Saccharomyces cerevisiae S288C: one gene and its partners. The gene in region 3 interacts genetically with the main gene of each other region. Each region holds a gene or a part of one and is shown on either strand. Other genes may lie near its edges.

Evidence for each region.
Region 1: mutations in RER1 (region 3) and RIC1 together harm fitness more than expected from each alone (negative genetic interaction), as found in Saccharomyces cerevisiae (5 studies listed by BioGRID, with this or other methods).
Region 2: mutations in RER1 (region 3) and HAC1 together harm fitness more than expected from each alone (negative genetic interaction), as found in Saccharomyces cerevisiae (5 studies listed by BioGRID, with this or other methods).
Region 4: mutations in RER1 (region 3) and YPT6 together harm fitness more than expected from each alone (negative genetic interaction), as found in Saccharomyces cerevisiae (5 studies listed by BioGRID, with this or other methods).

What each region holds. Positions count from the first base shown.
Region 1 is NC_001144.5:221,894-232,046, reverse strand, and holds RIC1 (Ric1p), read left to right. Parts: upstream 1-3,450; coding exon 3,451-6,621; downstream 6,622-10,153. Other genes in the region: thioredoxin TRX1, read left to right, coding at 34-345; NFG1 (Nfg1p), read left to right, coding at 1,596-2,081; AFB1 (Afb1p), read left to right, coding at 2,465-3,139; COX12 (cytochrome c oxidase subunit VIb), read left to right, coding at 6,875-7,126; seripauperin PAU23, read left to right, coding at 8,988-9,362; YLR036C (uncharacterized protein), read left to right, coding at 9,915-10,153.
Region 2 is NC_001138.5:73,301-81,255, forward strand, and holds HAC1 (transcription factor HAC1), read left to right. Parts: upstream 1-1,878; coding exon 1,879-2,539; intron 2,540-2,791; coding exon 2,792-2,847; downstream 2,848-7,955. Other genes in the region: protein kinase RIM15, read right to left, coding at 1-1,127; AGX1 (alanine--glyoxylate transaminase), read left to right, coding at 3,531-4,688; cyclin-dependent protein kinase-activating kinase CAK1, read right to left, coding at 4,755-5,861; putative ATP-binding cassette family ATPase CAF16, read right to left, coding at 6,044-6,913; GTPase-activating protein GYP8, read right to left, coding at 7,119-7,955. UniProt on the Saccharomyces cerevisiae protein: Transcriptional activator involved in the unfolded protein response (UPR) pathway. Recognizes and binds to the UPR element (UPRE) in the promoter of UPR-regulated genes such as KAR2, PDI1, EUG1 and FKB2.
Region 3 is NC_001135.5:107,628-115,209, reverse strand, and holds RER1 (protein retrieval receptor), read right to left. Parts: upstream 3,295-7,582; coding exon 2,728-3,294; downstream 1-2,727. Other genes in the region: YCL001W-B (uncharacterized protein), read right to left, coding at 1,186-1,440; YCL001W-A (uncharacterized protein), read right to left, coding at 1,669-2,130; YCL002C (uncharacterized protein), read left to right, coding at 3,535-3,576, 3,653-4,402; PGS1 (CDP-diacylglycerol--glycerol-3-phosphate 3-phosphatidyltransferase), read right to left, coding at 4,540-6,105; LDB16 (Ldb16p), read right to left, coding at 6,419-7,189. UniProt on the Saccharomyces cerevisiae protein: Involved in the retrieval of endoplasmic reticulum membrane proteins from the early Golgi compartment. Required for correct localization of SEC12, SEC71 and SEC63 in the endoplasmic reticulum.
Region 4 is NC_001144.5:663,856-670,552, forward strand, and holds YPT6 (Rab family GTPase YPT6), read right to left. Parts: upstream 5,037-6,697; coding exon 4,389-5,036; downstream 1-4,388. Other genes in the region: chaperone ATPase HSP60, read right to left, coding at 1-1,147; sphinganine kinase LCB5, read left to right, coding at 1,989-4,052; VPS63 (Vps63p), read right to left, coding at 4,382-4,708; TMA7 (Tma7p), read right to left, coding at 5,613-5,807; RED1 (Red1p), read left to right, coding at 6,485-6,697. UniProt on the Saccharomyces cerevisiae protein: Protein transport. Might participate in post-Golgi transport.

The DNA of each region.
Region 1 (10,153 bases), on a different chromosome or scaffold from region 3:
TGTAATAGAAGACTAGACACCTCGATACAAATAATGGTTACTCAATTCAAAACTGCCAGCGAATTCGACTCTGCAATTGCTCAAGACAAGCTAGTTGTCGTAGATTTCTACGCCACTTGGTGCGGTCCATGTAAAATGATTGCTCCAATGATTGAAAAATTCTCTGAACAATACCCACAAGCTGATTTCTATAAATTGGATGTCGATGAATTGGGTGATGTTGCACAAAAGAATGAAGTTTCCGCTATGCCAACTTTGCTTCTATTCAAGAACGGTAAGGAAGTTGCAAAGGTTGTTGGTGCCAACCCAGCGGCTATTAAGCAAGCCATTGCTGCTAATGCTTAAACTCACCCAATGACCGATATATTGTGTTTCTATACTGTGTTTGTTATATATAGTTTACCTTTTTTAGACAAAAAAACAGAATTATATATTATCCTTATGTTTTGTTATTTACTCGGAAGCACACAATTGCCCACCACACAAAGGAGGTGGAGGAAACAATTAATTTTTCACACAAGAGGTATATATTTGGAGAAAAATGAAGAATGAGATACTTTTCTTCCGATTACTTAAGTATTACGGCTCTGAAATTTTCTCGAGCATTAGATGATTAAATCAAAATGACATAGTATTTCGCAACCTTTCAGTTGGGCTTTGTTTAAGAAGTGGAATACTTTTGCTTGAGTTGTTTAGTTTTATTTTATCCACTGTTGTCTTAACAAATATTTTCAAGACCGGTAAGCCGAAGATGAAAAATCATTATTAACTCATTTTTTGAACAAAAATATAAACAAAAGAAAGGCAACGCACAATTTTAGAGATACATAAAACGCAGTGGATGTTAAAAATAACAGCGGTACAGAAACGCCTGTCTCGCTCCAATAATAATTATACAAATTTGAAACCGAACGCAATGTGCCAAGAAATGTAAACACACTATAGAAAAAAATAGAACGGTGCACATTGTGCTAGCATATCTGCTTGGTTCTGAACAAGAAGCACCTGGCCACTTTCTCCTAGCCCAATTCTTGCCAAGTTTTCAACCTCAATCTTTTGTGTTTGAACAAGCATGTATGAGGGGTCAAAATTTAGTGGAGGCCGCTTACAATCCTTCTATTTCCTCTGGACCTCATTAGCCGTCTGGCCAGACCTAAGCGTCATAATCTGGAGAATTTCATTGCATGCGAGAATATGATAAGTAAGAACTTGTTTATTTATACAAGTTCCACCCACTCATACACGGCTACAATTATGACGTATAATAACGTTTCGTCTAGCCCACCTTTTTTACTTTTGACGTTTTATTTCTTTCGAGGATTTGGCCAAGAATGCCCCGAACAGCGGAAAAAATGGCGTCGCAGTTTCAGATGTATAGACTCATCTTGTAGAAAAAAGAATGCAAGAATGAAGTCTTTTCGTGGTGTTTTGAAAACACTATAAACAAACCGTCAACAAACATTTTGTATAAATATTTAGCTATATATTGAATATCTTGACCAGTAAAGCACCTTGAGAAATTGTAAGCTTGAAGAACGTACTTTGATATCCCTCCGTTTCATCATCCTATAGCTCGTCAACAAATCAAAAAAAATATGAAGATCAGTCAATTTGGCTCTTTAGCTTTCGCCCCAATTGTGCTACTACAACTGTTCATTGTTCAAGCGCAACTTCTCACAGATTCAAATGCTCAGGATTTGAATACTGCCCTTGGACAGAAAGTGCAATACACCTTTCTTGACACTGGAAATTCTAACGATCAACTACTTCATCTTCCAAGCACCACCTCTTCCAGCATTATTACTGGTTCATTAGCTGCTGCTAATTTCACCGGTTCTTCATCATCGTCGTCTATACCAAAAGTCACTTCCAGCGTCATAACATCTATAAATTACCAATCCTCAAATTCTACGGTAGTCACCCAGTTCACGCCATTGCCTTCTTCGTCGAGAAATGAAACAAAAAGCTCTCAAACAACTAATACTATAAGTTCAAGTACAAGCACAGGAGGTGTAGGTTCAGTCAAGCCATGTCTTTACTTCGTTTTAATGTTAGAAACAATCGCTTATTTGTTTTCTTAAACAAATATATTAGGTTCAAGGTCTTCGCAGGTGTAAGAAAACCCGTGGTCTCCATATTCTTAAGTATGATAAATAAAAAAAAACTTAATAAATTATTAATTGCTTCAAACCTTTTTCTTTTTTTAGTTTTTAATATTTCAAACGTTATCTTCATTGAACGCCCAAATAGGGAAAAATCCTGGCAAATTTTTTATTGCTGTCATCCAAGGCTATGCTAGAAAATTCAAGAGCTTGGATGATTTAAAAAGACACTCTCAATCGAGAAAGTTTATTCTTTGTTATTCTGCTTTACCTGATCATATTCCGGCGTATTGTTTCTAATCAAGTGATTTCGATATCCAGTTACGAACCATTTACAACATTCCTGAAAATATTGCGTATCAATGATATTTGCTCCTTCTTTCTCCCTCATTAAAAATATTCTCCTGGTAAGCTTTCTAATCAGCCACAGTTTTGCTGCCAAAACTTTAACGTCTAGTTCCAATGACGATACACTTGCCAGGTCCGCAGCTGCAGATGCAGACATGGCATTCTTCATGGAGTTTTTAAACGATTTCGACACCGCTTTTCCACAGTATACCTCATACATGATGCAAAACCATTTAACCCTACCTCAACCTGTTGCTGACTACTACTATCACATGGTTGATTTGGCCTCAACAGCAGATTTACAATCTGATATTGCTCAGAGTTTTCCGTTCACTCAATTCCAAACATTCATTACGGCCTTTCCATGGTATACCTCTTTGCTAAACAAAGCCTCCGCCACCACCATATACCTTCCCCAACACTTCATAACAGGTGAGACAGAAGCTACCATGACTAACTCATCTTATGCCAGCCAAAAAAACTCCGTTTCCAATTCTGTTCCTTTCTCGACAGCGAACGCAGGCCAGTCCATGATTTCCATGGCTAATGAAGAAAACAGTACAACAGCACTTATATCCGCATCAAACTCTTCTTCAACATCCAGAACTAGTCAATCACAGAATGGTGCCCATGCCAAAAGCTTATATTTCCCCATGGCGTTGTTCGGAATCTTTGCAGTTGCCCTTTAAGTGCCTCAACCAAATTTGACAATTTAATTCCATGGGAGGTCCGCCATCCCTTTTCGCTTTTTTTATAATATGTGTATTATTTATACAAATATGTATATAAGTATGTACTTTTTCAATGGACAATTCGATTTTAAGAGCGTTTTTAGTGACAACGATGAACATCAACTTTGTACAGTATCAAACGATTTATTTTTAACATATTATTATAACTTCTGAATGGCGTTGCCATCTTGGCCAAAATCTTGTCTTTTCTGTCGTTTTATGGCAGGCTTTTGTTCTTTGATGTTAATTCGGCAATACCGACGCCTTTGATGTTCATCAAACAGTCTGAAAAAAATACACCTAAATGCCTCTACAAAAAAAAAGGTAAGGTAAGAGTGTTATTGACCGGAAGCTGTAAGAAACTGAACACGTGGAAAATGCACTTATGGCCAGTCAGTCCGCCCCAATTGCTTAGAATTCCACCCCGCAACGCCGAATTAGGTGAGGGTACTAAAATAGATGATTGCAATATTCTTCAATCAATGACACTACCCCAGGCCAATGTTCTTATCATGCTAACCCCAACAAGAGTGCTCATTTACAACTTCAAACCAATGGCACTAGTAGCTAGCCATGAACGAACAATGGCTTCTCTTAAGGAATTTGGCGATAACAGATCAATGAAACGATCAGCTCCATATAATGATATCATCGAAGGGCTTATTTCAAAAAAGGACTCGCAATACTTATTGTGGCACCAGGGAAAGCTGATATTTTACGTAATGACTGATAAAAACTTCCTTTTAACATACCAAATTTTAAAAAACTGCACAAATGAAATAATTTTCAAAGAATACGGCATACCCGTCATAGAGCCTCTTTTAATGAGTGAAGAAGAAGCGAACAGTGCTGAATATGACTATAACAACGATGATGATACTCTCACGGTATTTGATAAAAATAGTTCTTCAAGAATTATACAGAATGGATTTGGCATAACTAAGGAAAAAGGGTTTTTACACTTTCTTTCTAATCAAGAAAACATTGATGAACTCCCCGTGAAAAAACTAGAACTTCGTTTAAAAGTAGTTCTTAAATTTGACTATGAAATCATAGACATGATTGGCATCAAGACATTTTCCAAAGTCGGGGATGGGCGTTATGAAGAAGTTTTGATAGTTTTATTCCCTCATGGATTACAAATACTTACAATATCGGATTTTAAAGTTAGCAAGAGCTCGTTGGTTGAAGTGAAGAAGGGATCCAAGACAATTGTGTGTAATAAACAATTAATGGTTTTATCTCATGATTCCGTCGAAAAGCAGACTATTGTAAGCATTATAGACATTGAAAAGCAAGCTGTTGAAGCAATACCGTTAACGGACACACCAGATGAACTTTTGACTTGCCTAGAAGTTAATGGATACCTGGTGGTCGTTTACAAAGAAAAAATAATCTGCTTTGATACAAGAATTAAAAAAGTAAGCCATTCTTGGAAACCACCATTTGTGATAAAACTTTGCGATAAAATTAATGATAAAATATTACTTTTGGTTTCTGAGGATAGTGTTAACATTCATTTTTACACAGAATTTGGGAATCTGCTATTCGCTACATATTTTGACGAAGATGATTATAATGGTGATAACAATAATGACAACAGCAAGGATAAAAATGAGAAAAAGGCGGCTGAATATAAAATTTCTGATTTTGTATGCTTGGATAAATCACTAATAACAGTGTCTCATTCCGGAAAATATCAAGTTTGGAAATTATGGGAAGAAATAAAACAAACACAATTTGATTTCAGAAACCCAAAATGTTACGTATTAACCAATACGAACAATGATGTAATCATATATTCACCTGTGACAAGTTCTTCAATCAATAATGATAATTTACAAGTCATAAAACTTCCTACAAAGACTTTCAATAATCATATTGCTTTTGTAAAAATTAATTCTTCCTTGAGGTTATTTGCTACTTATGTGTCGAACAAAAACATACTGCTTATCCACAATCTAGAGACCAATATGTGGTCTAGTTTTGCTGACCAAAACGTGTTGGATTTACATTGGCTAGGTGATAATTATTTGGTTTGTCATATGAAGAATGATGATGGCTCAACAAATCTGAAATGTCTGCAGATTCCACTGCAAGAAGCGAATCCGGACGTGGAACTATCAGATTATGTCATGTGGGAATACAATGTTCCAGAGAATACGATTGTTTTCAGTTTACATGTTAATACTTTATCCCGGTATAAGTTGTTGAAAATGAAATCCAAGAATCACAATGCTTCTGAAAAACAACCTGATGCATTGCTTAAAACTGCCGAGATTATTTTAGTTACTGATACACAGACAATTGTCTTCGATGTAATTTCTACTGTACATCCATGTGGATTAAACATCATCAAAAAATTCTACCAGTATCTCAAAATTAACATTCCAATTGATGTTTTACCCAACAAAATTGAGTGGATAATTAACATGAAGGAGGGCTTGTTATTTTTTGCCGATAGGAAATTTATAAAGCTTGGCAAAGTGGATGGAGGGGGCTGGCAAACCTTAACTTTGTTGGATAACATAGAAAAAATAATCGATGTTATCAGGGACGAAATATTTGTAGTTCAAGGCCATAATTACGTCGTATACTCTTTGGAAGATTTATGGGATGATAAAAAGCCACTAGTTTCCATTCCAATCGAAGAAGATTTGTATCCAATATCAACCACCCCAGAAACAGCTACAACACATACACTTCACTGCATTTTTAACGCGCGATTTTCCAAATTGGTGGTGAAACACCAAATATACCTCGACCAATTAATCTTAGCCAAATTAGAAGACAACACAGATTTGGAGGATATTTCACACAATTATCGTTTTTTAAAGCCTTACAAATTTGCACTCGAAAAGATTTTGTCTACTAAAATACTGCGAAGCGACTCTTTGGATGATATCCTGAAATTAATTAAGATGTATGACAACACCGATCCTGAGCATAATATTTCACCACCAACCCACAGTGGTATGTTAGAAATTATTAGTAATTGTTTAAGGAAGATCGAAACTAAATACTGGAACCATCTATTCACTAATCTAAAGATGACACCAAGAGATTTATTAGCACTCTGTATCGAAGAAAATGAGGCTAAAATGCTTGGCGTACTTCTGTTAGTGTTTTTAAATTACGATGAGAAAGATTTGGGAGATGATCTACATTTTAAGAAATCAGATTTAGGGACTGAGGAAAGCAAAGCTCTAAATGATAACTCTACAAAAAAGTCAGAGAAATCTGTCACTAATTTATTGAAGGATGAAGAATTAATGCTTAAAGTCTTAGAGCTTTTGGTGACAAGTGCTGCAAACGCCACAGACCCAATTAAAGCTACCGATTCGTGGGACATGTGTTTCCAATTAATACGCTTACTCAAGGAATTAGACAGAGAAAACAACACACAATTGGTTCAAAAAGCACTCGAGAGATTCAAATAAATCTATATGACACCATGTATTCTTTACCATATAGCTTCATAACATTGACCAATCAATTTTCAGAAATGCGTCGCGCGTAGTTTTGCCCGATATCCCCATCCCTTCAGGATCTTTAAAAGGTGATGAAAGATGCACCAGATAGAAAAGTTGCATTAAAATGATTAGCAGAGATATACAAATATTTTAGTAAGAATACATAAAGTATCTTTGCTTTCACAAATAGGAACAAGCACATAAATACAGTATAATAGACATGGCTGATCAAGAAAACTCTCCACTACATACAGTTGGTTTCGATGCTAGATTTCCCCAACAAAACCAAACAAAGCATTGTTGGCAATCTTATGTGGATTATCACAAGTGTGTTAATATGAAGGGCGAAGATTTTGCTCCGTGCAAGGTCTTTTGGAAGACCTATAACGCCTTATGTCCCCTAGACTGGATCGAAAAATGGGATGATCAAAGAGAAAAAGGTATTTTCGCAGGTGATATCAACTCAGACTAAGGATCTTAGTTTCGTTTTTAGTAATGTGCACTTAGCCTTTTTTATATCATTATTATTAATTACTAGAATTCATTTTTGCGTAGTAGACCTACACGGGATGAAGGATATCTATATGAAAAGTAAAGTAACAATAGGAGATAATGAAAAAGTGATATCATACGCTAACGAATGTTCATGATGGAGCCAAATTCCTAAAAATCAAACAAACAGAAAAAAATGAGAATGATGTGGGGTACTGAAGTTTTATTTTTCATATTTATTTTTAATTATAGTAAGTAGCCATTTCTATATATATTCAAAAATTATTTGACCCTCGTAACATCTGCCACTGCACTGAAAAGAACAAGGCAATGGATAACGCTGATAAAGACGTCAGCATGAACTTTCAATTCACTGAGATAGCAACATTTTCGAGGATTATATAAGGGGTACTAATCTCTTCTAGTCATCGTTTGAAATACATTCAGGCTGAGAAAGATAAACGCTGAACATGTTGAGAATAAGGCACTTCCTGGGACCTACTAAAAGATAATAATATAGTATTTGAAGAGACCTTCATCAACAGCCTGAGATCGGCACACATCCTTCACAAGCGCCCCAGTTCCAGACTGAAGTACACATTTCTATCTCTTACAGTCACTACTTGCGATTGCTACTACTAAACGAAATGATGGCTGATTTCTGAATGTCAATTCTTTACTTATTGTTCTATCAGGCTAGAAGGATAGTAACATAAACTTCTAAAGTACCTTTAAAGAGCCTCAATGCACTGCCTTAACAAGCAAATGACAATTTTCCTATCAATTGTTTCACGAAATACGTTTGTCGTAATTTTACGCATTACAGGTCAGAAGGAGACTAGATAAGGCCGATTCTCCGAGTACTGTTGAACCACAGGCTTCAGCAAGTGAAAACCAACAGACAAAACAAGGAAAACAGCAAGATTAACCGTTTATATTTGCTTCTACTACCTCAACGGAGAATGGAGCAGGCCTTTGAAAACGCTCCTACTTTTGAAATTGCCTTTGTAAATATTGTATCTCCAGCCGCGCTTAGCTAAGTGGATATCACTAGATTAAAAAACACTCTCGAGCTACCCTATGAAGACAAGATTCATCCATAAACTCCCTAAGTGGGTATCCATTAGATGCCAACTACTTCACTCATGCAATACATACAGCAATTGCAAGACTTGTGATTTTAATCCAAAAGAAACTTCCCTGGGTGTCATGAACCCAATCAATGGCCGTAACTCTTCGTATGGTCAGTTTATAACTCTCAATCACGTTTCCTCGCTCATACCCTAACAGGTACGACTCCTCTGATCATATAGAGGGATTTTAATGTTTCTGATTTGGGAAACATTCAATTTTTCTCCTGACAACCGTTTAGTGTCAAACATTGGATATTGCCCTCGTTCAGAGGGCACAGAATAAAATTTGATTTCTGGTTCATTTTCTTGGCCAAAGATTAATTGAAGTTGTCAAGGCATGCCAAAACTTCCTTTAAAGGTATCATCCCTGTACCGAACATTCCTGTGCTCCTGTATATATCATAATAAGATATAGGTAGTACAAAGGCGCGGATCCGTATACGAGATCTATAAAAAAAGCATTGTTGAAGAAAGGGCAACTGCATATTTGTAGTGGTGAAGAGTATGGGATAGGGGAGCCCAAGTAAGAGAAATATCAGCAGTGAAATAGCTATTCAACAATTTATCTGTTCGTCCGTCGCTTATTAAAAAACGGCATATAAATAGAGCAGCTTTGATTAACTCTTTCCGACAATTTGGCATTGTTATTTACATTCGAGTGAGCTCACATCTTCACTAAAAAGATCTACAAAAGTTCAATCGAAAAAAATGGTCAAACTAACTTCAATTGTTGCTGGTGTCGCTGCTATTGCTGCTGGTGTCGCTGCTGCCCCAGCCACCACTACTTTATCTCCCTCTGACGAAAGAGTTAACCTGGTCGAATTAGGTGTCTACGTCTCAGATATCAGAGCTCATTTGGCTGAATACTATATGTTCCAAGCTGCTCATCCAACTGAAACTTACCCAGTTGAAATTGCTGAAGCTGTTTTCAACTACGGTGATTTCACCACTATGTTGACTGGTATTCCCGCTGATCAAGTCACTAGAGTCATCACTGGTGTCCCATGGTACTCCACCAGATTGAGACCAGCTATCTCCAGCGCTCTATCCAAGGACGGTATCTACACTGCTGTTCCAAACTAAGCCGATGGCCTCACAATTGGTATTTAGCACTGGATTGCTTTACGAACGGATAAAAATAATTATGATTTGACGGTAAGAAATAATTAGATATACATACGTATACAAACATATATATGTATTACAGGTACTTTTAATCAGTTGCACTGTGTTCAAAAAGATATTTTTTAAATGCGGGGGGAGATTCAAGTTTTGTTCTCGCATTTAAATTTCTGCATACAATTTGTACTTACAAGAACCTTATACGATTCCAGTTGAGACACGTACTGATATATTAATGATCATATTAAGAATCTTAATGCTTAAAACTTCTCTTCAATTCAGCATTTGATCTGTGGCAAGTTAATCTTGTTCCATTTAACGTGGATTTGACTTGCCATGATCTTCCCATAAAGCGGTAAATAGCCTTTTTGGTAAAAAATTGAAAGTTTAAAAGTACGGAACAAACTTTCGAGTTTTTCCTCAAAGGCCCTTCACAACACACGAGAACTAAAAGGTAGTTAAGACAGGAACTTGCCGTTAAAGTTTACTTTCTCCTTCAAAGTATAGGAAATAATGAAAGAGGCAGAACTTAGTGCGACAGAAAGCCAAGATGAGATCCCAAAGTCTAATTCCTTATTAATTATAGAAAAATTAACAAAGGCCGTTTGTAGCCTTTATTTTATAAATTGTTTTATGGTGCCATCAGTAGATAATTTGATTGAAAAGTACCCAAAAGCAATCATCATTAAGATCATAGATATGATTCTGGGGGCGGTAACAATTTCCCTCGTTATTATAGTTTTCTTTTTATA
Region 2 (7,955 bases), on a different chromosome or scaffold from region 3:
TATGAATTCAAGCTAACTGTATCTTTTTGGATAGGGAATTGATCTAACAAAGCATTGTTATTATTATTATTATTATTATTATTATTGTTATTATTACCATTATCTTGAGGAAATGTTGAAAGACTGTGGTAAAGATCAGGAACCATTTCACTCGGGTTGATATCTATGGCGTCCTGACACAGCTCTCTTAAGGAGTCTAAAACTTGGTTAAGGAAGTTGTTGGAACGTACCTGTATCTGACTGCCCTTATACTCTGAATCTTTCGTGAAGTTTGCCAAGATCGCCTGTTGCTCAAGAAGATTATCGTGTAGTAATTGTATGAGCGATTCCGTTCTATGCTCGCAAACGCAACTTTGCGAATGGGTCTCCAACCACCAAACAGGGACAAAGTTCTCACAGACCCGGCATAGTTCCATTTTTGGCAGAGGTAGATTGAACTCGTCTATTATCATTTCCAGTCGTATTCTCTTCAAGTACTGCACGAAGATCTTAGCGCCGAACCCAAGCGTCTTGGCGAACTCTTCGGGAAGTTGGATATCGATATCGTCGCAATTATCGGATAACTGGATGACCATGTCGTCTTGAGCGTCTTCGTTGGCATAAAAGTCTGACCAGTCGTTTGTGCGAGGCTTGACTATCCACATCGTGTGAGAGGGCAACTGTGTGTGGCCATCCCTGATTAAGATACCACGTGCTTCCAAGGTCGTTATCGTACTTTCATCGTCACAGCCTGCGCTACCTTCATAGTCGGCTGCCTTTATCTTGAACGTTATAGTGCAACTGGTGTCATCATTCATGAGCAGCATGTCTGTGGCCTTTTGAAAGACACCTTTATCTTGATCGGATCCGAGAATAAGGTCTGCAATGTACGTCGGAGAAGAGCCACTATCATCGGCGACTCCTGTGATCGTGTTCCACTGTGGAGAGCCATATCGCACCTTGCCGTCCAGTTCCAGCTCCAAGATCATACACGGATTCTTCTCTGTGGCCAGCTGCAGATATTTTTCATAATTGGAGGAAGTCAATGAGCTTGGGTTCGAATTCGATGATATCGGGGAGAGCTTGTTTATGCCAAGTCCCTCTTTCATAGCCTGAGATCCGCCTGCGGTGTTACTTCTATTGAACATCTGTCTTCCTCTACTGGGCTTATCTATTCTATCAAATGAGGCAAGAGAAAGGAAAGGGAAAAAAAAAAAGGGAAAATGCTTGATGAGTTAGGAATTCAGTAAAAGCACCCACCAGAACCTCTACAGCAGGCCTTCCAGGAGTGGTTAAGAGGATAGAGAATTCTGTATATATATATACGTCTATATCTATACAAAAAACGGCAGACAATGCAGAAGTTGAAAATGCTGTGATACGAACAACAACTTATTTTTACAATGAAAAACAACACCAAGCTGCCAAAAGCTGTATATTAAAGTTAAAGCTCCCTCATTTTTAGTAAGGACGCTTTCTTTTCCCACAAAAGGGACGAGGAAAAAAAGAAAAACCTGGAAATATAGTCACGTGACATGAATAAACAAGACCTAGGGCAATATGGAAAAAGAAGCTAGGATAAAAATACATTTATGAGGGTTGTAAGGCAAAGTGGCTCAGCATTAAGTAGGGCTAAAAAGAGTCGCAAATATACATCGTACCGAGTGATGAACGTGGTTTTGAACACCTTGTTCTCTTTTGTTCTCGCTCCCTACATTCACTATATATTAGAAGAAATTTCACCTCAATGGACAACTCGAGAAATGAATACAGAAATATGTTTTTTAGCGAAATTTTCCTTTCTTCTTGTCTTCTTGTTTTATTTAAACTTCCAAGGCTTTAACTCAGTGTCAAACATAACAACCTCCTCCTCCCCCACCTACGACAACAACCGCCACTATGGAAATGACTGATTTTGAACTAACTAGTAATTCGCAATCGAACTTGGCTATCCCTACCAACTTCAAGTCGACTCTGCCTCCAAGGAAAAGAGCCAAGACAAAAGAGGAAAAGGAACAGCGAAGGATCGAGCGTATTTTGAGAAACAGAAGAGCTGCTCACCAGAGCAGAGAGAAAAAAAGACTACATCTGCAGTATCTCGAGAGAAAATGTTCTCTTTTGGAAAATTTACTGAACAGCGTCAACCTTGAAAAACTGGCTGACCACGAAGACGCGTTGACTTGCAGCCACGACGCTTTTGTTGCTTCTCTTGACGAGTACAGGGATTTCCAGAGCACGAGGGGCGCTTCACTGGACACCAGGGCCAGTTCGCACTCGTCGTCTGATACGTTCACACCTTCACCTCTGAACTGTACAATGGAGCCTGCGACTTTGTCGCCCAAGAGTATGCGCGATTCCGCGTCGGACCAAGAGACTTCATGGGAGCTGCAGATGTTTAAGACGGAAAATGTACCAGAGTCGACGACGCTACCTGCCGTAGACAACAACAATTTGTTTGATGCGGTGGCCTCGCCGTTGGCAGACCCACTCTGCGACGATATAGCGGGAAACAGTCTACCCTTTGACAATTCAATTGATCTTGACAATTGGCGTAATCCAGCCGTGATTACGATGACCAGGAAACTACAGTGAACAAGAACACTAGCCCCAGCTTTTGCTTTCTGCTTTTTTTCTTTTTTTTTTTTTTTAGTCGTGGTTCTCTGATGGGGGAGGAGCCGGTTAAAGTACCTTCAAAAGCAGAATGCAGGGTTATTGGAAGCTTTCTTTTTTTCTTTTATGCTAGTTTTTCCTGAACAAATAGAGCCATTCTTTTCTTATTACTAAGAAATGGACGGCTTGCTTGTACTGTCCGAAGCGCAGTCAGGTTTGAATTCATTTGAATTGAATGATTTCTTCATCACTTCATGAAGACAATCGCAAGAGGGTATAATTTTTTTTTTCTCGTTATTATCGCTGTTGGTGGGTTTTTTCTTTTCATATATTTCTTTTTCGCTTAGTGGTTTCTACTGTTCTGTCTCCGGTTAGTGTGTGCTACTTCAACCGAAGAAGAAGAGGCTTTTCAAGAATGCAAACGTGAGGTTGGCGCGCCCTCCTACAATTATTTGTGGCGACTGGGCAGCGACACTGAACATAGCTCTTGAACAAGACCCTTTTTTGGCTGCAAGGAGCAAGACTGGCTGGGGTTCCACCTCAAAGAGCCACGCTCTGCTTTTTTTCTATCTGTTTGTGTCATATCTATCTGTCTATTTATCTATATATATATTTTTTTATATAAAACTATAAAGAATTCTTGATGTATGCCCTTAGGTTGGGCAGCTTTTCAACCTTAGACTTGATGCTAACGCCGCTCTGTTCCTTCTCCCGTGCTCCCGCAAGCGAACATCTCCCCCTAACTCCGGGCCAATGAGTGATAACTATATCAAATACCTTCGAAAGGACCTTAGTCATCATATCACTCTCACTCTCACGGCTCTCTGTAGTCCTCCTCGAGGAGTGGCCAAGAATGTTCTGTTCCGCAGTCTTTATATAATCGCACTGGTTGAAGACGAAAGCTCATATAATTCTTTTTCCATAGCCTAAATACACCAACGATGACTAAATCTGTAGATACGCTGCTGATCCCAGGCCCCATTATCCTAAGCGGAGCAGTCCAGAAGGCCCTGGACGTTCCCTCTTTGGGCCACACCTCTCCTGAGTTCGTCTCTATTTTTCAAAGGGTGCTAAAGAACACAAGAGCTGTCTTCAAATCCGCTGCTGCCTCGAAGTCTCAGCCTTTTGTGCTTGCCGGCTCTGGTACGTTGGGGTGGGACATATTTGCCTCGAACTTTATTCTTTCGAAGGCCCCCAACAAGAACGTGCTGGTCGTATCCACTGGGACATTTTCTGACAGGTTTGCTGACTGTCTGCGTAGCTACGGTGCGCAAGTAGATGTTGTTAGGCCCCTCAAGATAGGCGAATCAGTTCCCTTAGAACTGATTACTGAAAAGTTGTCGCAAAATAGCTATGGGGCTGTCACGGTTACGCACGTTGACACTTCAACGGCAGTGCTGTCCGATCTGAAAGCCATTTCGCAAGCGATTAAGCAGACTTCGCCGGAAACGTTCTTCGTAGTCGATGCTGTATGCTCGATTGGATGCGAAGAGTTTGAATTTGATGAATGGGGGGTGGATTTCGCCTTGACTGCTTCGCAAAAGGCTATTGGCGCTCCAGCGGGTCTTTCTATCTCGCTATGCAGTAGCAGATTCATGGATTATGCACTCAACGACAGCAAAAATGGTCATGTACATGGGTATTTTTCCTCGTTGAGAAGATGGACACCAATAATGGAAAATTATGAGGCTGGTAAAGGAGCTTATTTTGCAACCCCACCCGTACAACTAATTAATAGCCTTGATGTAGCCTTGAAAGAAATTCTCGAAGAGGGGTTGCATAAGAGATGGGATTTGCACCGTGAAATGAGTGATTGGTTTAAAGACAGTTTGGTTAATGGCTTGCAATTGACATCCGTCAGTAGGTATCCTTCTAACATGTCTGCGCACGGGTTGACAGCCGTATACGTAGCAGATCCTCCTGATGTCATTGCTTTTTTAAAGTCACACGGTGTAGTCATTGCCGGAGGTATTCACAAGGACATCGGACCCAAGTATATCCGTATTGGACATATGGGTGTGACCGCTTGCAACAAGAATTTACCGTACATGAAGAACTGCTTCGACTTAATAAAACTAGCTCTTCAGAGGAAAAAGTGATTACCCTCGTACTTTTCATTTCATATATATATATATATATATATATGTACCTATATATTCTTCTTATTATGGCTTTTCTAATTCTTGCAAGATTCTTTGACAGCTCCATCTTTCGTTTGGTGAAAATGAAACCATCCCCAGGATACAATTAATGAACTTCTGCTTGACTTTGACATCCGCAATCTCGTCCAGTCGAGGCATATTCCTCTCAACAATGCTAATCTGTACATCTTTCTCCTGGTCCAGTACATACTTGCCATCGCCATCTGCACCAAACATACCAACAAATGCATCAACCGAGCCGTGTTGCGCAACCTCTTCCCATTTCTGAATGGACGGTATGCCCAACTTTTCGAATATTGAGCAAATCAGTCTGAAATCGCTTCCATCTGAGTTCATGTCGTCGCTGCCGTCATCAATCATGGCCGGAACGTGCCCCATACGGCTTGTTTCTCTCTGGAACCACTGAGAAATAATTATCAACAACGACCACACGTCCACGCCACCATCATAGCATTTTACTCCAAAAAGCACTTCTGGGGCCTTGTAAATTCCTGTGCTTATATCCGTCACCTTGCTATCCATGGGTTCCGCACTTGTTTGTGAGTTATTTGCCATGTCATAAGAGATGCCAAAATCAATTATGTACAACTTTGGGGATACGGTGCTGGTATTGTTTGTTAGCATGATATTTTGCGGTTTGATGTCGCGGTGAATGATCTTGTTCTCATGTAAGAATGCAATCCCTTCAACCATTTGCCGGAAAAAGGACAAAGAATACCGATTGACGTCCAATTGATTAGTATATTTCTGAACGGGGGGGTCCGCAACAATTGGGATACTGGGATTTAGCAAATCGTAATAGGGATTTTTTTTTCTTCTATCTCTTTTATAGTGCATTTGCATGAACTCATAAAGGTTCATCTCTTCAAAGGGAAACAACAACAATAGGTCATTATTATCGGTAGCCTTAGACTCTAGAAGAGGTAAGATGTGCTTACATTTGTTGCCCAGTTTGTTTAATATCGATACTTCGAATTTGGCGTTATGTGGCGGGATATCGAAATCTAGTGCTAGACATTTAATGGCATATGTATCCGACCTATAAATCCTAGCAGTTCTAGTAGATTTGACCAACTGACAGTGTGTAATGTCTATACTATCCAGTTTCATTAAGATGGGCGTGAATTTTGTTGCCTCTCTTCTTCATCTGGCCTCTTTGCTTCTATGAGACTTCTGTCGTTTTCCTTTTTTTAGGATCACAAACTACTTCTATAACTTAAATAGTCAAATCACATTTTCCACTAAGATACATATTTTCTATACAGGGGGTCTTTGCAGTTATATATACTCAGTTATATACCAATCTCTTTGTCAGGAATTTGATTATCACGTTTCAACCATTCTAGTGCTAATGGATGCAAACTATTCACTTTACTAATAACAACCTTATTGTTGTCATTTTCAAAGGCCACTTGTCCATTAACTTTAGCATTGACCACTTCAGAGAACTCTACGTCTTTCTGATAATCTAAATTATCCACAATCTTACCTGATTTCATATGGTATACTTGGTTAGGCCATTTGGCCAAGCCGTCAAAAATATGTGTAGCGTAGACCACTGAGCATCTTCTGGTTTCGGTCTCCCACTTTAAAAACTCCAGAAGTCTTGCTCTGGCAATAACATCGAGATCCACAGTGACCTCATCAAGTAGTAAAACTCTCCAAGGTTTCAAGAGCCCCATGGCTAACTGAACTCTTCTCTTTTGTCCATCACTTAACCTGTGCATTCTCCAACGTACATCGATGTCCAGGATTCTAACCAATCTTTCACCTCTTTCCCTAAAATGATCGAATCCAATACTTTTTAATAGTTCCAAGACGCCGATATCCCTATTAATGATACTCATATGGCACCATTCCGTACCTAGATAAGTGGTCGTTTGGTAGTTCGTCGAATCTTCAACACTTTCATCATCGTCCACTTGATTCATAGATAATGGACTGAATGGATCAAGACCATTGACCAGGATTTTTCCATCAAGGCAAAGATGCTTACCGCTTAGTAATTTCAAAAGGGTGGATTTACCAGCACCATTGGCACCCACAACTAAAGATCTTGTATTCCATGGGATTTGAAGATTGATATCAACAACTGACGGATCGGAGCTTTCTTTGAATTTGTACGTTAGGTTACGCACCTCAATAGCAAATTGGGAAACCATCTTGAGAGTTATCTAATATCTTGATATCTTATGCAGGAGTACTGGTTTTCTCCATACTAAAAATCTCTCTTTCAGAATTTTCGTTTTTTCTTATTTGAGTCATCCTCGAAGAAATTTCCGCAGCGAATTTTAAAGAAGCACTTTATAATAATACCTTACATATGAGTTTGTTTCTATGTCATGGGTATATAAGGTATATTGTATGCTATCTAGTTGGATGCCCCAGTTTCAAAATGTCCCTAATCGGATCCACCCAGATGTGACTAACGTGGTGCAAATTTATATTTATATGTGATAAGTCTTTCAACTTTGTGGAGATCATGTAACGTAGATTGAGTACTAAACTCAACGACCTTGTAGTCCGTAATTGGTACAGGATAGCTACAATCCCGATAAGTAAAGAAATTTTGCTCCACCTGTTATATTTGGAGGGTAAAAAATGGCCAAGTCTTTGGACCAACGCCCTTGTCTTGGATCTGGCGGCGACACCATGATACTTTTCTTCCTTGTAATGCTCGTTCATCTTTGTTTGTTCGCTCAAATAGAAGATAATGGTGCTCATATCGAAGCATCCTGGCTTTCCACATGCTGTATTGAGTAATGCACTATATTTATTAAGACTCACCCGTTTCAAAGCCTTCTTGCTGGCAGTAGTCGCATCTTTTCTAGTTATTTGCAAGACTTCTTCCCAAAGCGCCTCATCATACAGTTTTTTCTGTAAAACTGTTTGTATAGCACCATGGCGCAGGTCAAAATCGTTCTCGAAGAAATCAGAATTAGCTTCTATTTGCTTCGAAATTTCAGACGCATTTTGCAATAGCAGGTTCTTGTATATGATCAAAGGTAAACGCATAGATTGCATCGATATTGTCATGTCAAATATCTGGAAAAGAATTTTATGAAGATTGTTGTCACCGCTATCTATAGGTTTCAAATTATGTGCAAAGATTGTCAATATTGACCCAATAGCGAAAAGGGGCTCATTTTCGTCAAATTTGAATAGATTATAGAATTTCATGTTTGATTCCTTTATCAATGAAGA
Region 3 (7,582 bases):
AAAAATTGATTGTAATTCGTGTGATAATGCAACAATAACAATATTTTGATAGAACGAGTACAACACCCGATCCTCTTTTTATGCACAGACTTTAACTAAAGAATGATATGAAACTATTTAACGTGATTTTTTCCTCAATTTATCGTGAAAGATTTTTAACTACAAGTCATGAATATGATAATGGTTACACCAGTAGGTTTGTACTATAATGTGGGTGATGAAACACGGATTATACGCAATATACGATTCTCACCGCATGACAAGTGGATCCCGGGTGGGAAACTGAAGAAATCAATTTTGAAGGTACTGCTCTTCTATACTACTCCACATTTTGAATAATTATGAAGTTTTAATATGTTTGTTATTTGGGGTATATGAATGGGGCGGAAATTCATTTGAATTTTAATTCTACGTCAACGAGTCCTCTCTGGCTAAAATGTATCTAGTACTTTCAATGATTGCTCTAAATCGCGGACATTAAGGACGAACAGAAAAGTATAGGCATGAGTACTAATGGTAAAATTGTAAACCCATCAACATATAGCTTAGATGTTCAAAAACTTTTTCAATCATTACCTTTTTACTGTTAAGTTGCTTTACCAACTTTTTCTTTATTACTTCTATTGAATAATAATATATGAGCAAAACTTCCACCAGTAAACGTTTCATATATCCATTCAATGAAATATATATTTCTTACTATTTCTTTTTTAACTTTCGGAAATCAAATACACTAATATTTTAAATTTTATTTTTTAAAAATAAACTACTTTTTATTTTTTACTTTTTTTAAAAATATAATAAAATCAAATATCATCATGTGACTTATTTGTACTATTTTTTCAATGAATAGCTTTCTGTGGATTTTCCATATTGTTTGGCGCTGATCGCCATGCCATGTTTATGAAATGTATAGGTACTGTACTATAAGCGGAAGGGGAAGGGTTCGGTTTATATGAGTGATTTAGATAAATTTTAGAGTTTAGCTACGCTGCAAGCTATTGAAACTATTGTGTAATAGAAGTGGTAGCAATATGTAGCAAAGAAGACAAGTAATCCTTATATTCTGTTTGACAAGTGTTAGATAAAAAGAAAAAAATTCGAAGTTAATGTTGAAATTTCACTTATTTTAGTCATCTTTGAAAAGTTCATCAAGGTATTGGATGGTATATTTTAAGACACAGCCTATATCTGTTGGTTTGTCAAGTTGCTCACTGTGATTTTTGAAGTACTGAGTACGAATATTTTGCCATTGTTGTTTCCACTATTCTCTATTAGGTCTAGGTATTTTTCACGTTTTTTCACGTCGTTCCTTTTTAGTACACTATCTGTAATAAGTAGTGTTTCTATTGCATCTAATTTTGCAGCTCTCTCGGTTTCTTCCGCGCCATACCATGCTTTGTTATCGTCTTTGCTCAAATGTTCAAGGAAATCGTCCATGATACGGGATTCTTTCAACTTTTTAGTGTTATGCACTATCATAGAGTATTCAGGATTTCTTACAACCTCATCGATTCCCTGTAGATATTTTGTAGAACTAGAACAATGGGCGAAAACAGCTTATCTCGGTTCCTTAAAACTGGCTTATTTGCTCCTTCTCTGCATATATCAGAAATTTTTTCAGCAGTGTCTTCGCATAAAATCCAGGGGAGCATAATATTATTATTCTCAGTTCATCAAAATTGAAATTTCTAACCACTGTGTCATCCGTTCTTTCTTGTCACACAATTTGCTAATATCAGTTCTATCTTTCTTTTTTGGAAACTTCAATTTTAGTTTTAATATAATTGAAGACGCTTTCAATAAGCAAATGCCAGAAAATCCTTCTTGCAGAACCACCGTAGCAGTTTCTGAGTTTGATTTGGAGTCGATTGCTTCTTTCAAAAGTTTTCTGGCACATTTGTTAAAGTGGCGCTTAATAGCAGTAAATAGATGTTCACTGGTGCTAGCTATATAGCGCAGATAATTCTCTATTACATCAAATTCGTGGGATAAGTTTTTTAATCTTACAGCTACTAAATTGGTAACTGTTTTTCTTATCATCTCATTCTTCTTAGTTTTGAATAATTTTTCTGAAATATAACCTTGTCCTTCTTGTCTATTATTATTGATAAATTGTAAAAAGGTCATCTTTAAGTTGACGAATCAACGTGATAATTGTGTAACCGTTATCTTCGCTGTCGTTTTTGCTACAGATATGATTTTCATTTTCCATTGAAGTCTATTGTGCCACTTAATCAAAATGCGTTCGATGATAAATTTACTAAGTTCTTTAATAACTTGGAAAACTAATACACTAAAACACATGCACGCCACGGAGTATGGACATTATAAACGTGTGAACATTTCAAACTCACAACTTGCATGACATTACTCTCTCTTTTGCATCCTTTATTCCTCGACATACCCCATTTCTCACTAATTTGGTATTAGTAATTATGCAGAAAGGTTCGAAGCTGTCAATTCTTTTTAGACATGTTTCTTGAAAGTCTTTACAAAAATTTATCAATTGGAGGCATCTCAAGCTCTCCATTTATAAATGGAAGAAAATGAGCCTCTTCCCTTCAATTTTGCTTAATCAATAACTTCATGTATTCTTCCAATATAAGAGAAGATGAGTAGAAGGAGAAAATAATCACAATTATTCTGTAACTATCATATAATTTTGTTTACATATAATTAAGATACGAATGTGTTCGTTGAATAGGTATGTGGAGTCAGGGTATATCAGTTAGAAGAATGAGAATATTTCTTCTTACCGATATCTAAGGGTATATATCTATATTTTATCATATGTTGAATCTGCCTTCTCATAGTTAAAAAAAACAATAATATGAAATACATCAATAAGATGGGCCAAAATACTGGAATATCGAAGATTGAAAATAGCGACAACAAGAGGGAAATGACAGTGGCTCTAATGCTGTTATACCAGAATTTGAACTCTGGTAATCTTCTGATGAATGGACGGAATTCTTCTGATTTTTCTCCAGCTTCCAATTCGTTGTTTTCTTCATCTTGCTGTAAGGACATATCGAATTTTGGGGTCAAAAAGGCTAAAAATTGATTCAATAAAAATAGACCTAGACCATAACAAATCACATACCAGCCTTCGGCCATTGTAATACGAACCATAAACAAACATAACAAACCACCCAATACAGCCCACCTCTCCTTAGCGTGAGGAGTGACTTTATCCAAATAGTGTTGATATAATAATTTCATTGTATTCATCTTAGTGATTAAGGGGTTACTTGAACCACCGTTCATTGTATCAGAGCTATCGTAATCCATCTTGCTTCCTTTTTTTGATACTCTATGCCTTTCGTGTAACACTTAGTCCCAAATCGAAATCGCCTTTCTTGTATCGTTATTTTTCTTATGTATAATTCGTGTTCTACTGCAGAGGCGTGTTTTGACAAGTTTTTTTTTCCTCTGCGAACGAAAAACCCACAATTTTTAACCTCATTGAGGTAAGGTTTTCCAGAGGAGAGGTTGAGGAGCCCTGCGAAGCAATTATATTGAATCATTCACATGCTTGTTATTGTTCTGCAGGGCTTGGCAGGTTTTTTATCAGTATGCATAATTGAAGGAGAAAGTATACATGAAAGGTTTGACTAACTAAGGGAGAAAACTTCCATTTCTTACATAGATCATCGCCATTCTATGTCAAAAGCGCTATAATAAACTTCATCGATCTATTTACGGGCTTTCATATGATTTATTTCTGCTAGATTTTGTTGGTAATGGTCTGTACTTGTATTGCGCGTTGCATTATTGTTATTCATCTCTGGTGAGGGAACAACTGTCTCAAAGATTCCCACTTTTTTATCCGTTGAATGATGCCCGTAGTATACCTATATCCAGTTTCCTCATTCTAAAAGATTTTTGCGTTTCCTGTTGCTGCATGATGGTTTTAAGGCAGTTATACTATTATAGGTCAACTAAACATATTTATCAGGGCATTTCCATTACTTCCATAATAATTATAAGTGTGTTCCTTGTATTAGGCATATTTACATATGGCTGTTCCATCTCTAATTTACCGTTGAAAAATTCAGGTAAATTTGGCGTTTTCTATTTGGAACACATAAATTATTTGTGGGTAATGGCAAATCTGCTTAAATGTTTCAAGTATGTGCCTCAAATGAGTATAAACTGGATGGGATGCTCAACAGTAGGTTTATCATCAAAGTTTGCATTGATATCATTTTTGGCTGAATCTATCGATTTATTAGGTAGACTGGTAATACCGACCAATGCATTGTTTTACGAGATACCATTTAATTCAACGCCCTTTTGGGTAAAATTGATACAATTTGTCACCTTATTGGTCATACTTTGTCAAGTTCAGTATGTTTACGTAGGACGGAAACCACGGTTGCCAAAAGGAAAACTATAACAAGGTCAGCTCATTCTCTACCTTAATGGCTTTGCGATGTTTGCAAATTTAAGGAGTTTTAGATAATGCATTTATTATTACTATTTTTTCTTTTATTTTTCCATATTTACAGGCGACATACTATGATAGAATAGAATCTAAAGTTTTTTACCCAAAATGGAGGTAGCTATCTTTACACCAGTGCCAACATGTCTTTCTGGGTCTGATTGAAAGTCTTCTAGAGTTACAGGTTTTGTATATTGTAATAAATTATCTAACTCTGCTTTCATTTTTTTTCTTAGCTCTTCATCTCTTGTAATAATGAGAGCATTCGATTCCAAATCTAATGAATACGCCCTTCTCGTATAGTTTGAAGATCCTATAACCGTGATAAAGGGTTTCCAATTGTTAGCATCATTTTTATCACGAGCGGAAAGCCAAATACCTTTTGCGTGATATGACCAACCATTCGGCTTATTTACTACGCCTCTTTGCCATTCTCTTAATGTAATAGCATGATCTTGTCTGTACCTACATACATCTTGTAGAAATTTTTTTGACAGGTACAAGTAAGCACCAGGTAAATTTGATGAGACGCCCTTTGATTGGTAAAAGCCGTTTGCAAAGGGGGAAGCTGTTATTACATTTGCCTCAGCAACCGGCGTTGCCAGCAGTTTTGCTTTGATGTCTGGCAAAATATTGAAGTATCCTGCAGTGAACGTCCAAGAAATGGCATTGCTTGTTATAGTGGAAAGCAATGACAATATTGTTCTTTTTTCGGTCGATTTGTCATTATATTTGGGAAAAAGTGGAGTGAATTGAGAAATTGGGTAAACTAATGTGGAGAATTGACCCACGGCAGTAATCGGGAGGCTTTGTTTAGAACTCTTTAAAAAGCCATCTAGTAATTGAGATGCTTCCCTTAAAAACAGCCTTTTATTTTTCGTCGGTTCAACAGTAGGATTCGAATCTGGCCAAATGATGTTGATGCTACCATCCACCATTGGCTTTATAATCTGATAACTGAAGGAACTTATGAGTTGATGTAATTTAAAATAATAGTTGGAGAAGTTTCGAGATTTAAAGAGATAGTATCTATCTTGTCTGTTGGTGAAATAGTCGTTCGAAAGGTTGGCTCCCGAAAGAATGACCTCGTTATCAAACCCATATATTTTCATATGTTGTAAGCCTAAACCTTCATTAAATCTCTTGGGAACCAAGACTTTTTTCCAACCATGATAAGCAGGCGTCTTGTACAATCGGCAATCCACTCTCTCTGACCCATATTTGGCTACTAAAGACGATAATAAAGTGGCGGAACAGGCGGAAGGCAATTCTCTTGTTCCTCGAAGGCCATCAAGTAGAAAAGAAACTTTCAACTTGGGGTTCTTGGTCAATGCCTGGGATATGCAGTCCACCAACTCAGTCTCGCTTTTGCCTAAATACAGAGACGCAATGAATATTCTATTTTGTGAATTAAGTATTTTTGTCTTCAAGAGATCGTAAAACTGAGATGGAGATTCGATTATATCGATTTCTTTTGCTTGGAAATGAAAGCATGTTTGTAAATTCTGTTGTAGGGACTTAGTGATCGTGTTCAAATAATTGCCAAATGGAGAAGGGTTCGCAGCGGACATCTGCCTTTTTATATTGAAGGGTTTCTGGAGAGGTAGGGATAATAATCTGTAATGAGGACGAGTGAGTTGGAGCAAACGAGTCGTCATTAATATATGTTATCCTGAGTATGCTATTAGCAATTATGGACAAGCTGGGTGTCCTACATTATATCTACTTTCTTGTGTGGGCTGCTTTTTAGGAGTGTTCGGGCGTGAATGTGTCCATGTGCTACTGCTTTTTTATTTATGTTTTCTTCTTCACACATGGGTTACTGGCAGAAAATAAAGAAGAGAGAGGATCAATATATATATATATATGCTAAAAGATTATAATATGAAACTTATTTAAAATCAGGCAGTTAGGAACTCAACATATTTCTATCATTCACTTGTTAGTGCATGAGAAGAAGTAATTGCAATATCACCTAGAATTCCTTCGTAAAATCTTTATATTAACGATGTCCGCATCACTGGCATTTCTTCGAAGCTTAGCTCTATTAGAAAGAGACATCAAAGTTTCATTGGTGACGAATGAGTTTTGGTAAGTGTCAGACCTATCCCAAATATCAGTGGGTTCATCGTCTGTGGTGGTCGTGTTGAATGAATCATTATTATAATGCTGAATTTTTTCGTTAGTAGGCGTTTGGCAAGGGGTGATGTAGCAGTTCACATCATGCGTTATAGTCATATCATCAGCTCCAGGCTCATCATGGAATTTTTTCATGTTAGGCTTTGATATATGCGTGGGATTGGGCTTAGGCATGGGTATTGGCGCAATAGTTTGTCCTCGCATAATGTTGACAATACTAGTGGAAGCACGTTCAAGGACCGTACGTATCGGAGCAAACCACCGTTTCCATTCTAGACTTATGTATACACTGGGTACCCCGCAGATTGAGTGGAACACACCCAATATAAATCCAAAGATGAGTCCTATGATGCTGCCAAAAGCACAAAGCACAGCAAAATATTGAAACAACGTCAAAACCACATAGAAGTCTAATGTGCTTGTTTGTGCAACTAAACGGCTCAGCGACGTCCCCAGGAACAACCTCAATGGGATGTTGATAGGCAATGCCACAAGCTGAAACCCATTCCATACGAAAATTGATAAAGGCAGTTGCACGAGGGCACGGAAGAGAGGTGAAATCACTCCCATGCATAGCTGCACGCTCCAATCCACCACAAACATATTGCGGCTAGTTATATACCTGCTTTCTCCTCCTACAGTTGCTGATGAAGCCCTAAATGGTTTCTTCTTTTAGTCGTTGCTCACCCGGCAGCTCTTTAGTTTTTTTTATTTTTTTTTTTTTCTTTTGAGATTTCTCACTATAAAAAAAGAAGAAATTACTTTAAATTGTTTGTCTATTCCAACATAATCATTAGCAGCACATGTCGAGCAACAGATAAACACAGCAGCGGCACGGTGAACCACATAAGTGTATGTGCACACGCGTGTTTTGTGCAGTGTATTACCAACTTGCGCATGCAAGGATATCACACTCCTGTTTCTGCCTCATGTCTTTTAAAACGCTTCCACGGGACATGGGTTCTAATTATGGAGAAGATCAAGCTTTGAAATGGC
Region 4 (6,697 bases), on a different chromosome or scaffold from region 3:
CATATGAATTTGTGGTGGTAATGTCGATGGAGCCTTTGATTTGTTCAATTCTCTCTTGAATAGCTTCCTTTGGACCACTACCGTTCAGGATAACGGTGTCTTCCTTAGTAACGGTAATAGAGTCACAAGAACCCAAGTTTTCTATGGTACATTGTTCTGGTTTCAAATCCAACTCCTCAGTAAAAACAGTACCGCCCGTCAAGACTGCAATATCACCAATTGTATTCTTTCTATTATCACCGAAACCAGGCGCCTTCACAGCACAAACCTTAACTTGACCCCTCAACTTGTTCAAAATACAAGCCGCAAGAGCTTCACCGTCAACATCTTCAGCAATGATCAACAAAGGTCTTCTGCTTTGATTGGAAATTTCCAAAGCTGGCAAGATATCTTGAATGGAAGAAATTTTCTTTTCACTCAACAATAGCAATGGCTTTTCAAATTCCACCTTGCTCGACTTTGGATCAGTGATGAAGTATGGAGAAATAAAACCACGATCAAACCTCATACCTTCAGTAACCTCAAGTTCATCTTCCAATGTTCTACCTTCTCTGATAGTGATGACACCTTCTTTTCCAACCTTTTCCATAGCTGAAGCTAGTAACTTACCAACATGAGAGTCCCCATTGGCAGAAATGGTTGCTACTTGAGCAATTTCCTCAGATGTGGTAATTTCTTTCTTGTTGGCGCTCAAAAATTCAATCACTTTTTCAACTGCAACTTGAGAACCCCTTCTCAAATCCATAGGGTTACAACCAGCGGCGACATTTTTGACGGATTCTGTGAAGATGGCTCTACCTAAGACAGTAGCAGAAGTAGTACCGTCACCAGCAGCCTCATTGGTTTTGGAGGCAACTTCTTGTAGTAACTTGGCACCCATATTTTCAAACTTGTCCTTCAACACAATAGATTTGGCAACTGTAACACCATCCTTAGTAATCTTTGGAGGACCGAAAGGCTGTTCGATTAAAACGTTTCTACCCTTTGGACCCAAAGTAGCAGCAACCGCTTCAGCTAAAGTTTCGACACCCTTAAGAAGGGAGGCTCTTCCTTCTACACCGAATTTCAATTCTTTATGAGAGGAGTAAGCACGACGCAATAAAGGCCTTAAAGTAGCGCGACTACGAACAACGGATGATCTCAACATTTTGAAAACTTTTTTGCTTATGATGTTTTCTCGTGGGAATTTTCTTATATTATTCAAGGAAGTGCATGAAGACGCAACCACGACCTTACATAATGAATGTAAAACTTAGTCTCCTTCAATATATATACATGAATGTCCGTCTGGATTCTGCTCCGGGCAAAACGAAGCAAAATTAAAGTCACCCTCCCCATTTGGTTTTCTGGAAAATTCCACGAGGTCCGTATATGATGACATATACAGATGGGCGGCTATAAAGTAAGTTTCCAGAGGTAATACCAGGCAATAAACAGCTTCAATTGCTCGTAACACCATTGTATACCTACAAAAACAGTGGAATAGGGATGAGACATAACTGGCTGGAATTTCAACTGTACTTCTTTGCACAACTAGTCTTGGCGTTCTACTTGATCATTGCGCGAATGGATGCACTCGCAATAATTCCCAATAGTATAACAGGAGGAACATTTGGATGCATTAGGTATATTATTCATCTTCTTTATCATCAAAATTTTCTCTTCCTTTATGTTACTATGTTGCTTTCTTTTAATCTATGTTTTTTTCCCTTTCAGTTGCCACCGCTTTTCTGCAAGATTCATAGTTAGATTTGCAAATCAAGGTGTTTTCGGGCCTTGTTAAAGCCTTCGCAGGCGAAGAAGAAAGGGAACGTAAGCTGCGTGAGCCGAATCTATTTATACAAAAACAATCAAAAAAGTATAACTACAGCATAAACTGTTGTATATACGTGTTGCAAAATAGGAAAGAAAAGAAGAGTAAAAGGACTCTTGATATTATCTCGAAAAAACCACAAATAGTGTAAGATTTAAACAGTAAGCCAAAAGAGATGACTTTGAAACCTTCAAAGAGACGTAAGGGCAGGTCTCGCCATTCCAGGAAGAAGCAAATAACGTCAGCGATACTGACTGAGGAAGGAATAATGATCAAGGCAAAACCATCAAGTCCTTACACATACGCAAATAGAATGGCAGATAAACGAAGTCGCAGCAGCATTGACAACATCAGTAGAACTAGCTTTCAAAGCAACATCAGTAGAACTAGCTTTCAAAGCAACAGTGATAACAACAGTATATTTGAAACGGCTTCACTAATTAGCTGTGTTACCTGTTTAAGCGATACTGATACAATAGACAGATCGGAAACATCGACAACGGATACAAGTAAAGATGATCTTTCTGCTAATCCAAAACTTCATTATCCTTCGGTGAATGGTCAATTGCCAGCAAACACCGTTATCCCCTATGGACGAATTCTGGATGCCAGATACATTGAAAAGGAACCTCTGCATTATTATGATGCCAATTCATCACCCAGTTCACCTTTAAGCAGCTCAATGAGTAACATTAGTGAAAAGTGTGATCTTGATGAATTAGAGTCTTCCCAAAAAAAAGAAAGGAAGGGCAACTCGCTATCGCGAGGAAGTAACAGTAGTAGTAGCCTCCTGACTTCCAGATCTCCTTTTACGAAACTAGTAGAGGTTATATTTGCTAGGCCAAGACGGCATGACGTTGTACCCAAAAGGGTTTCATTGTATATTGACTATAAACCCCATTCATCTTCTCACTTAAAAGAAGAAGATGACTTGGTTGAGGAGATTTTAAAGAGAAGCTACAAAAACACTAGAAGGAACAAATCCATATTTGTGATCATTAATCCGTTTGGTGGTAAAGGTAAGGCGAAAAAACTGTTTATGACAAAGGCAAAGCCGTTACTATTAGCAAGTCGGTGTTCCATAGAAGTGGTTTATACAAAATACCCTGGTCATGCTATAGAGATCGCGCGGGAAATGGATATTGACAAATATGACACTATTGCTTGCGCTTCGGGAGATGGCATTCCTCATGAGGTGATCAATGGGTTATACCAAAGGCCTGATCATGTCAAAGCATTCAACAATATCGCCATTACAGAAATTCCATGCGGATCAGGTAACGCAATGAGCGTATCCTGCCACTGGACAAACAATCCTTCGTACTCAACTTTATGCTTAATTAAATCGATAGAGACTAGAATTGATTTGATGTGTTGTTCGCAGCCTTCTTATGCAAGAGAGCACCCAAAGTTATCATTTTTAAGTCAAACATATGGTCTCATTGCAGAAACTGACATAAACACTGAATTTATTAGATGGATGGGACCTGCAAGGTTTGAATTGGGTGTAGCCTTCAATATCATACAAAAAAAAAAATATCCTTGTGAGATATATGTAAAGTATGCTGCCAAATCAAAAAACGAGTTAAAAAATCATTACCTGGAACACAAAAATAAAGGGTCGTTAGAATTCCAGCATATTACTATGAACAAAGATAACGAGGATTGTGATAATTACAATTACGAAAATGAATACGAAACCGAAAACGAAGATGAAGATGAAGATGCGGATGCGGATGACGAAGACTCCCACTTGATATCTCGTGATCTGGCAGATTCTAGTGCTGATCAAATTAAAGAGGAAGATTTCAAAATAAAATATCCATTAGATGAAGGTATCCCTAGTGACTGGGAAAGATTGGATCCTAATATTTCGAACAACCTAGGTATCTTCTATACGGGTAAAATGCCATATGTGGCTGCTGACACTAAATTCTTTCCGGCAGCGCTTCCTTCAGATGGTACAATGGATATGGTTATCACCGATGCAAGAACCTCGTTGACGAGGATGGCACCAATCCTGCTGGGACTAGATAAGGGTTCCCATGTTTTACAACCGGAAGTCTTACACTCTAAAATTTTGGCATACAAGATAATACCAAAGCTAGGGAACGGCTTGTTCTCTGTCGATGGCGAGAAATTTCCTCTAGAGCCCCTTCAAGTCGAAATTATGCCACGCTTATGCAAGACGTTACTGAGAAATGGCCGTTATGTGGACACAGATTTCGATTCTATGTGACACTTTACTTAATCTTTTCCTTCGTACTGAACAATTAATCAAAAACTAGAATATGTCATTTCTATTTCTTCTATATTTTTTTTACGTTGTTGTTGTTTTTGTTGTTGTTTGATAACTTTATACACTCCATACTTCTTTATAAAAAGTTTTAATACCATTCTTTAATACAACCATGTTTAGTGAGTACTAGCTCCTACACATCAGATCGTCAAGTACATTATGATTATGATTATTATTAATATTATCAGTACAATTATTATGTGCTGGTAGTTCACTAAAAAATATGACGCACACAAAGAGTTCTCCTTATGCCCTATAGAACTGAAATATTAGGTGCTAACACTGACAAGCGCTTTGTTCCTGCTCCTCTGCTGTAGAAATATCAATGACTCCCGGTTTATTTTGGTTTGCACTATTTGCATTTTCGCTATCCAAAGGAGTTGACTCGCTGTTTTGAAATTCAGGCAGCGATTTGGCAATCTTTTTGAATAAAGCTTTGACATTATAGCCTGCCTTTGTGGACGTTTCCATAAAGATTTTAGCACCCAATAGTTTTGCTTTTTTCTCTCCCTCTTCGGTTGAGATTTGCCTTTCATCTGATAAATCACTTTTGTTACCAACAATGCACAATATAACATTTTCGTCACCTCTTTCATTTTTAACGTCTTCTATCCATTTATCAATATATTCAAATGATTTTCTCTTCGTAATGTCGTAAACGATAATAGCAACTCTCGAATCTCTGATATATGAAGGTATTAATGATCTAAATCTTTCCTGACCTGCTGTATCCCATAACTGTAATCTAATTGTCTTATCATCCAAATACATGGTCTTGGAAAGAAAATCTATACCAATCGTGGCTTGGTAATGATCATCGAACGTATCATACATAAATCTAGTGATCAGCGATGTTTTTCCAACACCCTGTTCTCCCAAAAAAACAATTTTGTACTTTGTCAATGATTTCCCGGATCTGCTCATTGTTAATCTCTTCTTTGTTTATCTTTTACTGTTCAGAATCAACAGCTTCAAACACTTCTTTTCACACAACCTTAAGTGCCCAATTGTGATATTCTTACATCATACATAGTAACAATCTATATATGGGCAATATTTTCCTCCACTAATTGAGCTGTGCTGAAGGCTTTATTACCCGGAAATTATTCGGCCATTTTTCACTAGAAGTTAATACCAGCACTAACGAATAGAAGCACCCTATTCTACTCAAGATGCCCGGTTCATGAATAGGGAGAAGTATTTTTCTTATTTTCCTTAGCCATCTATAAATATTTATCCTTATGCCTGTCACCACAATAGAAAAGGGTCCATTATATATCAGTTGTTTTCGTACCTCTAGAGAGACACGCAAGGGGCTTTATTTAGGAAACCTCCAAATTTGCTAGATGTAACCATTATACATAGTAATTACGATTGTAAAACATCGGAAAGAACGATATATCTTGCAAATAGCTTTTCTTTGGTAATATATGTATTTACTTAAAAAACGAGAACTAGAAAATACTGAGTAAATTTTTATTAGACGTTGTTAAAGGCCTTTTATTTCTTACCAGATTTTTTGATACCACCACCCACTAAAGGTTTACCACTTTTCATATTAGCCATCAAAGCTTTCTTAGCAGCAGCATCGGCCTTTTGCTTCTCTTTGAAGGCAATGTCTTCAGGATCTAAGTCCTGTTGTTGCTTCTTCTTTTGCTTTAGAGGCTTCATCTTACCACCTTGGCGACTAGACATGATTGCTTAGGGTTTTTCAGTTATTCTTCTGGTTTTGCAACTTACTGTGCGTGGAAGAGCAATCAATTACAGGATTTTAAACATGAAATTTTTTATTTTCCTCGTTCATTTTCGTCGCGGGAAACTTCCAGAAGTATAGATTTACTACAATTTTTATCTCAGGACAGAAAGAATAAACCAAAAAAGCCAAGACAAGCCAAGCCAAGCCGAGGCGACTGGAGGAGCTTTTCATCACATTCAATGACAAATCACAACAGGTTTCCCTGTTAGAAAAGGCATGTGCACTCACAATTCATATTTTCATACAGAAGATATACATTGGATTTCTGGAGATATCAGGTAAGGTTCGACAAAAACAATGGCGTTTGCCAACCCTTTATGATGGGTGATCTTGTATCCGCTTAATTGTGTGATCTAAAAAGGCAAAGTAACGTATTATTGGCTGGTTTATATAATTTGAATATGACTACTTTTTCAACGTTAAAAACGATAAATACTTGCTCAAAGGGTTCAGCGGCTAAATAAACTACGATTTCGCAGCAGGATCAGATGGATTCAATCACATCATTCGCAAAACATTCACATCATTCGTGAAGCATTAAAGGTAATAAGAAAAATAGAACAAAGATTTTTTAATCAGTGAGGACCACAAAGGGACAGCAAATACGGTGATAAGAATGGAAGGTTTGAAGAAAAAGATTTTTGGTGTTTGCCTGAAAAATGACTTAGCACAGACTAGGAATGAAACGAAAGGAATCCACTATGGGTTAATGACTTTGGAAACTTCTAAACAACTGCAGGAATTTCTCCATTTGCTAGTAATAAAGAGAGAAGTAATTCAAAATTTTGAGTTGTTATTTCACATCATAAATGTTGCCGTTAAAATCACC